2 linked regions of the Zea mays genome follow. The protein of the gene in region 2 binds, or shares a complex with, the protein of the main gene of each other region. Links are inferred from orthologs where the notes say so. Each region holds a gene or a part of one and is shown on either strand. Other genes may lie near its edges.

Evidence for each region.
Region 1: NAD(P)H-quinone oxidoreductase subunit T, chloroplastic (region 2) and NAD(P)H-quinone oxidoreductase subunit O, chloroplastic share a complex: the UniProt entries of both Arabidopsis thaliana proteins name them as parts of the chloroplast NDH complex. The link is inferred for Zea mays from reciprocal best matches to the Arabidopsis thaliana genes NdhT and NdhO.

The regions. Positions count from the first base shown.
Region 1 is NC_050103.1:163,552,118-163,556,291, reverse strand, and holds NAD(P)H-quinone oxidoreductase subunit O, chloroplastic, read left to right. Parts: upstream 1-2,137; 5' UTR 2,138-2,289; coding exon 2,290-2,488; intron 2,489-2,600; coding exon 2,601-2,764; intron 2,765-2,877; coding exon 2,878-2,937; intron 2,938-3,041; coding exon 3,042-3,071; 3' UTR 3,072-3,349; downstream 3,350-4,174. Other genes in the region: Phosphatidylserine decarboxylase proenzyme 2, read right to left, coding at 35-103, 625-684, 778-802, 1,166-1,245, 1,439-1,624. UniProt on the Arabidopsis thaliana protein: NDH shuttles electrons from NAD(P)H:plastoquinone, via FMN and iron-sulfur (Fe-S) centers, to quinones in the photosynthetic chain and possibly in a chloroplast respiratory chain.
Region 2 is NC_050099.1:14,035,288-14,039,446, reverse strand, and holds NAD(P)H-quinone oxidoreductase subunit T, chloroplastic, read right to left. Parts: upstream 2,265-4,159; 5' UTR 2,154-2,264; coding exon 1,813-2,153; intron 1,657-1,812; coding exon 1,236-1,656; 3' UTR 1,006-1,235; downstream 1-1,005. Other genes in the region: Pyruvate kinase 1, cytosolic, read left to right, coding at 1-69, 149-216, 312-411, 523-579, 669-824. UniProt on the Arabidopsis thaliana protein: NDH shuttles electrons from NAD(P)H:plastoquinone, via FMN and iron-sulfur (Fe-S) centers, to quinones in the photosynthetic chain and possibly in a chloroplast respiratory chain.

The DNA of each region.
Region 1 (4,174 bases), on a different chromosome or scaffold from region 2:
TATGGTTTGAGGATGAGATGAACAATAGTGTTACCTTAGTAAGCATTTCAAAGAGATTAACCTCGCAGTAACCAACCAAAGTGTTCTTCGAAAATCGGTTCGTCTGCAAAGGAGGATGCATGTAAAGACACCGTCTATATATTACAGTATAACTTTACTTCAATCGATGAAAGTTGTAGAGGCACTGTCTATATATTTCATTATAACTTTACTTCCATCAATAAAAGCAAAAGTTGTAAAGGCACTGTCTATATATTTTAGTATAACTTTACTTCCATCAACAAAAGTAAAAGTTGTGAATGCACTGTCTATATATTTTCAACATAACTTTACTTCCATCAATAAAAGTTCTTATGAAGCTGTCCACCAATAATTTGCTTTTTTGGAAGCATGCATGCATGTAAATAAAAGGGTCAGGCGGAAACATGCCACTCAAATTTTTGAAAAAATGGAAACTAGTTCATTTTCATGCCACCATGGCATCAAAATAAACTAGCCGTCTAATTTTGTAAAAATTGAGTGGTATGTATACAATTAATACTAAATAAAATGGTTTCGACGTAAGAGAAAACCATACAGGTAGGCACTCAGCACATGCTTTTAGTTATTCCAAGGGCCGCATACCTCAAAAACAGAGATACGTGCAATATGAGGTCCATTCGTCTCCACTATAACCTTCTTCTCCTGAAAATTTTATCAGCACTATTCGTAACAACGCTTAACTAGATGTGGAAGACATCTCGGTAGGTTGACAGAGAAGATGTGCGGCTCACTCACCGAGTCCCACACAGGCCTGTGCGTGCTGCAAGAAAAGAGAAAAAAAGTTCACATATTCGAATCGAAAAGTGGTACGTATTTACTAGATATAGAGTGGTGATAAATGCATGCAATTCAAAATTAGATGGAGAGTACAGGCAAAGGCGATTCACGATATGGTGGCTCATAACTGGCTGAGGTACTTATCAGCAATCCCGCGTGCGGCGTGGAAGTTAAAATTTACTAGATCGGAGGGCACAGCCAGAGGGACATTTGAGAGTTACCAAGTCGAGGGACACACAGCACGCAGACATGAGAGCGAGACAGGGATATTCTTGCACAGAGGAATGGAAATGGAACAGACATAGGACGAGTATTCGAGCAGTAAATAAAAGCAAGGGCGACGCACTTGTCGGACGTCTCGGTGCGGTACGTGCGGTCGCCGAGAGAGAGGCACGCGAAGAACTTGTCCTTGAACTGCATATCCGCCTGCGCCCGGAAACCGAACAGGAGGATCAACCATGGCGAGTCAAAGTCAGAGTCAGAGAGGCAGAGACAGTGATGCGATACGAATCGAAACCCACGGATTCCGCCTCGGCTGGCCGCGTCGAAGCGGGGAGCGAGACTCGGTGCTAAGGAACATGCGCGTAGCAGCGGAGTTCGCAGCGCGCGGCCCACGTACCTTGGCTATCCGGACGCGTGCGATGCCGGCGAACTCGTCGGCGGCGAGGGCCTTGGAGGAGACCGAGTCGTCGCCGGCGCCGCGGCGCAGGCGGTTGCGCAGGCGGCGGCGGAACCGCGCGAAGCGCGAGGGCAGCGCCTCGCCGGCGCCGGCGCAGGCAGTGGGCCGCGACGCCGAGTGGCCCATCCGGACAGGTTGGTGGGGACTGGGGACGAAGACGGACGGGACGGCGCGGCGCGGCGCGGCGCGCCTTTTGCGGGACGGTGGTGGGCGCGGCGTCAGACAGACAGACAGACGCCTAGGCAGATGGTGGTTGGAAATGGGCCAAAAGTAGAGTCCCTTTTGAATCCAGGCCAACCGCCTGCCTGCCTGCCTGCCCGCGCACGCCGGTTCGTCGCCCGGCCGCGGGCCCCATCGCCACTTTGATAACTCGGTGGACCCACACGTCAGAGGGGTTTTGGAAGGTGTGTAAGGATGGAAGTCAAACCTGTGTTGATGGCGCTGGTGGGACCGGACAAGGAAGATCCACCTGCGTGCGCTGCGCACTGGGGGGGCGCCTGCCTGGCTCTTGGATCCACCCATTTCCCATCGTCGTCTTCTTTTTCTGAATGGGAATCTCCACTTCTTGGTGGTGGCAGGTCATGACAGCAGCCAAAGTAGATGATGATTCCCCCCCCCCCCTCTCTCTCTCTTGCGCTTGCAATGGGAAGCAAATGGCCAACCAATAGCAAAAAGGCAGCCGTGTATCGATCGCCTTATCCGGGTCCTGTGGCACTGGCACACCGCGCGTCCGGATTTGGCTGAGTAGCTGACTAGCTGAGCGAGCAATCCATCCCTTCGCCCGCCGCACCATGGAAGCCCTCGCCTCGGCGCCTCGGGCGCTCTTCCCGCGCGCGTGCCCAGTGGCGACGCCGGCCGGCCCAGCCCGGCGCCGCTCCGCCGCTCCTCACATCTGCAGGGCCTCCGCGGCGGCCGGGGAGGAGACGACGCCGCCGCCGCCGCCGGCGGCCGCTCCCAAGAAGATCCTCAAGAAGAAGCCCGTCTACTCGAGTAAGACGACGACAAGACCCCCCCCCCCCCCCCCCCCACCCCCCCCTACTTCTCCCTCTAGCTCTCGCGCGCGCGGCCATGCATGCATGATGAAACTGGCTGAGCTTTGCAGTGAAGAAAGGGCAGATTGTGCGCGTGGACAAGGAGAAGTACCTGAACAGCATCAATTATCTGTCAGTGGGACACCCGCCCTTCTACAAGGGGCTGGACTACATATACCAAGACCGCGGCGAGGTCTTGGATATCAGGAACTTCGAAACAGGAGAATACGCCCTGGTAATGAAAACTACTTCCATCCGCGCATGCTGTGTTCAGAGTTTCGTCATGCTTTCTGCCTCCACCATACATGTTCAGAGTTTCAGACCAACGCGCGCGTGCATGCATTTCAGATCGCTTGGGTGGGGATCCCGACGCCACCGGCATGGCTACCAACCTACATGCTCATCAAGGTAGCTGATTCATCCCCAGTTGGATCAATCTGTACGTCATGCACCACTCGTCTCACCTCGCTCTCGCTCTCTGTCTCTGTGGCATGTGATTTGTTGCATTGCAGTCGGACAAGCTCGACTACGAGAGGATATGATGGCCGGCCGGCGGCCTCGCAGGGCACCGTAGCGCCGCCGCCGAATTCATGCTTCATTTCGCATCAGGAGTCGGCCAAGCAGGACACACCTCTTGTTGTTGACTTGTTGTAGGTATATACGTACATGCCAGTATTGCCAGAACAGTCGACAGAGGCAATCTGAGACCTCAGCTGCTGGAATAATCAGGAAGTAGATCGAGAGCGACGTACGATGACGAGATTCATAATTGCTGCTGCACATCACTTCTTTATGTTATTTAAACTCACATTTCATAATTAATACTAATAATATATTGTCTCCGTTCTTGAATATTTGTCTCGTCGATAGTTTATTTTCGAATAAAAAACGACAAAATAAAAAAATGATAGTGTACCGATTATGAAGCAGCCACAAACAAAGGTTTATAATATACCTTTCCAGCATTTATATTATGGGTCAAAGTGTATCATCACGCACACGCCTCTGTCTACACTCCGCAGCTAGCCACTGCTGAAATAAACAATGTACAATTAGTCAGGGAGGGAAACAAGGTTGAGCCATCTTTAGATAATCTCTAAGACCGTGTCAACCAACTCCCCTATCTCATCTCATATCACATCCCTTATTTCAGACTTTACTCTATAAACAATGATAAATATTGTTATTTACAGTATCATGTCCTCTATTTTAGGGGATCCACTGAAGACAGTCTAAGTTAGTGTTTAGAATGGCTCGATGCCAAGAAACGACTTTGTTCGAAAAAAATAGGGAGTTGGATGGTTCAAGATTTGATCATATTTTTTCTTTTTTAAGCCGCTATATTCTACATAAACCAATCCTAACAATAATAGATTTAGGAGTGTAGCGACTCAGTCCAACCCTACTCCAAAACCAAACGCTACCTACAATATTTTTTATGGGTAACGACATATGAATTATGAACACAGTGAGATTTGTCGATCACCCCTAATCCACGTTGAGGTAGATTCCTAGCTCTCACTTGCTCCTCTATCAAGACATCGCTTGATCTTTGAGCCAAGTGGACAGTAAAACACTCAATACCTCAATTGTACTAGCGTCGCCTTTGCCGCTCCGACGACGTAGGCGCGAACCCCTCATAGAC
Region 2 (4,159 bases):
CAATTCAAGAAAGTAATGTGGCATGTAGGTGACCCAATGCCCCACGAGGAATCTGTGGCATCAGCAGCGGTAAATACTATCAATTCATTGGAATAAACACAAGCTTTCTAATTTATAGAACATCAGTTAACCATTACTTGGTTTTTAGGTTGGTTCTGCAATCAAAGTAAAAGCTGCTGCCATTGTTGTGTTCACATTCTCAGGGAGAGCTGCGAGGTGCTCCCCTTTATTTCATTTCATGATCAGCACACCATTAGACACATTTCCATCATACGGAGCAATCAATTCATTTTATGCTTATCTGTTCACAGGTTAGTTGCCAAGTATAGGCCAACAATGCCAATTTTAGCAGTTATCTTCCCACGTGAAGGATCCGATCCATCAAAGTGGCGTTCTTATGGCACAACACAGGTAACTTGTATGTCTATGATTCTGCTGAGTTTCATGCTTCCTTAGTTTTCTGGTTGTCGTGAAGCAGGACCAGCAAACTCGAATGTGTAACCATTATTAAACCACTTTCAGGCAAGACAATGTTTCGCAGTGAGAGGCGTGTACCCTTTGATGGGGAGTACTGATGAGGTATGTAAGCAATTGTATTTTTCCCTAACATTAGAGTTACATGTAAAAAAACATATGGCTAACCATGAATGCTTAAAACTCTGTAATAGGCCGAAACTGGTGGGCTAACAAAGGAAGAGTATGGGATAAAACTTGCGATGAGCTATGGTCGGTCGGTTGGCATAGTGAAGCCTTTCGACAGGTTGATAATCTTTGAAAAGATTGGTGATTCTTCTGTTGTCAAGATCATTGAGTGTGAAGGTTAGGCATTAGATGATTGATACCTACAACCCATGCTGTAGTTTCATGTATCGCATGGGAGATTACCTCCAGTTCCATCTCACTTATTTAACCAAGTTCCAAGTAGAGTACAGCAAGAGCACAAGATATCTTGTTAGGGAATTTTGCCCTCTTTTCAGATTGTCTTTTGATTTGACGCAATAAATTATGATGTCACAGATTTATACTGGAATTATGATTTGATTATGCAAATATAGGATTGTTGGCAACAAACCATGAATAATCGTCGTTCCTACCTTATTCTATTGGACATTACATGATGCAGTGCATGATAACATCCCAAAAGACAATCTTAGGGCATTATCAGTTAATTTACCTATAATGTTCTGTCTATGGTACACTCCTGCAACCTTGCTGCTGTTGCTGGTATGCTGCTGTCAGTACTGCTCCTTGAAGAAAACAGCATAGATGATGCAGCAGATGGAGATGATGATGATAACGATATCGATGGTGAGCGCAGTCATGGCCTGATCGCTAAGCTTCATGTTCTTGCCGCCGAGGCGGTCAACCATGTCTGGCACGGGTTTGTAGTTGATGATGTCCTGCTCGTATGGGTCCTCGAGCCTGGACCTGAGCTGCTGCAGGCGGCGGCTCTCGGCCTCCTGCGCCAGTGTCCAGTCGTAGAACCGCCGTGTCTCCTCCTTGCTCAGCACGTTGTACACCTCTCGCAGGCGGATGAACTTCTGCGACGCCACCTTGAGCGGCAGCGTCGTCGTGTCCGGGTGGTACTCCTTGGACAGCCGCCGGTACGCCGTCTTGATCTCCTCGATGTCCGCCTCTGGCGCTATGCCAAGGAACCTGGGTGATAGATTTTGCAGTTCAGTCATGTGTCGCCGTTAGTAACAAAGTATTGACATGATGATGACAGTGTCTCGAACAGAGCTCTACAAATTTATGTACAGCTGGACGGCAATCCAAAAGGACATATGAGCATGGATTGGAGATGAACTCAACTGGTAGTGAGACTCGGCCGCGTTGTTGATGAGGTCCGCGAACCTCCCTCCCAACGGCTCGTTCTTGCTGCTGCCGCGGCCGTCGCCTTCCTTCTTGGCCTTGCCTCCTACCCACCCTTCGTCGGGGTTGGACCAGTGTATCCTGGTGTCCACCGTCTTCTTCTTCCCCGGCCCTGCACCGTCCGCCGTCGCAGGAGTCGGTTCGGCGTCGGGCGGGCTCGCGGCTGCGACCACGACTGCCTTCGTGCGCCGCTGGTGCCGGTGGAGGAAGGGCGTGAAGATGCGCGAGGCCGTGGACGCTGCCATGGGAAACGTGTGTGTTAGCGTCTGCGCAGGCAGCATTCCAAGGCGTGGAGGGGAGTCGGGAGGTGATGAGGCTCGCACGTTCCAGTTGTCGTGGTAGGAGGGCGAGGCGATGAGGTGTCGCTGTTCACTTAGCCAATGGCCACATGTACAAAAAGAAAAAGGAACGGTAACCATATTCCGAACGAGAAATGAAACTGCAGAAATTTTCCCGCCGCACGAACACTTGCGCTGTCAGTTTAGACGGTACGCAATCGAATTCGTCCGCACAGTTATCCTGAGTAGTACTGAGTACTGACCAAGTGACAATGAGGGAGAAGAGGTAAAAAAAATAAAACAAGGGGGGTAAAAAACAGTTTGGAGATGCGGGGGATCGAACCCCGTACCTCTCGCATGCAAAGCGAGCGCTCTACCATTTGAGCTACATCCCCTTGTTGTAATTTTTAACTGTGATTAAATTAATAATGTTTTTGTAATTCAGGATTTTGGGTGTCGCCTCCCATGATAACGCGCATCAGGTTTGCGTTCCACGGTATCATCAGGGAGAGGTCTTCTTGAAACGGCAACAATGCTTGGATCTTCGTTACTGCCGTCTCCAGTCTCTCAGCTTTGGCCTCAGCACTCTTGTGACTAGCGGTTTTGTCGCCCGATACAAGACATGATTTGTGCCATTGGTAGCCACTGCAGATGCTACGAGATTTGTGCCATTGGTAACTAGTGTAGTTGAAAGGGAGGGAGAGGGGTCTTCCCTTCTATGCCAATCCATATAAATTGAAGGTGATTAAAGGGTTTCAATCCTTAGTAAGTCAAAATCTCTCTCAATACGTATCAATCTCTTCCAATCTATAGATTGAAAATAACCGAACAAATTGTGATATCCTGGCCCCTGGGATGGGATGTCCTGGCCCAAGGCTTAATAGAATTAATAGTGTAATCATACCAACAAGGTGCATATTCTTTTTCGGAAGCATATCTTGAAAGAACCTCCAAGTTAAGCGTGCTTGGCTTGGAGCAATTTGGGATGGGTGACCGACCGGGAAGTTTTCTCGGGTGCGCATGAGTGAGGACAAAGTGCGCACAAAAGACTTGTGTTGGTATGTGGGGACAATATATGATCCTAGAGAGCTGCCAGGAGTAAGTACCGCCGGTCCAGGGATTGGACGGGGTGTTACAAGTGGTATCAGAGCCGACCCTCGCGGTTTCACGGGCGTGTGTGGGCTAGGGGGTTCGGGTATATGGCGCATGGCGCATCTGGGCCCGGAGTGGTCACATGGCATGGCATATGACGACACTAGACATACAGACGTGGCCAAGAGGGGAGGTTCCTGGATTGGGGTTGACCGACGAGGACGTCGGTCTTCTAAGGGGGGTGGATTGTGATATCCTGGCCCCTGGGATGGGATGTCCTGGCCCAAGGCTTAATAGAATTAATAGTGTAATCATACCAACAAGGTGCATATTCTTTTTCGGAAGCCTATCTTGAAAGAACCTCCAAGTTAAGCGTGCTTGGCTTGGAGCAATTTGGGATGGGTGACCGACCGGGAAGTTTTCTCGGGTGCGCATGAGTGAGGACAAAGTGCGCACAAAAGACTTGTGTTGGTATGTGGGGACAATATATGATCCTAGAGAGCTGCCAGGAGTAAGTACCGCCGGTCCAGGGATTGGACGGGGTGTTACAAGTGGTATCAGAGCCGACCCTCGCGGTTTCACGGGCGTGTGTGGGCTAGGGGGTTCGGGTATATGGCGCATGGCGCATCTGGGCCCGGAGTGGTCACATGGCATGGCATATGACGACACTAGACATACAGACGTGGCCAAGAGGGGAGGTTCCTGGATTGGGGTTGACCGACGAGGACGTCGGTCTTCTAAGGGGGGTGGATTGTGATATCCTGGCCCCTGGGATGGGATGTCCTGGCCCAAGGCTTAATAGAATTAATAGTGTAATCATACCAACAAGGTGCATATTCTTTTTCGGAAGCCTATCTTGAAAGAACCTCCAAGTTAAGCGTGCTTGGCTTGGAGCAATTTGGGATGGGTGACCGACC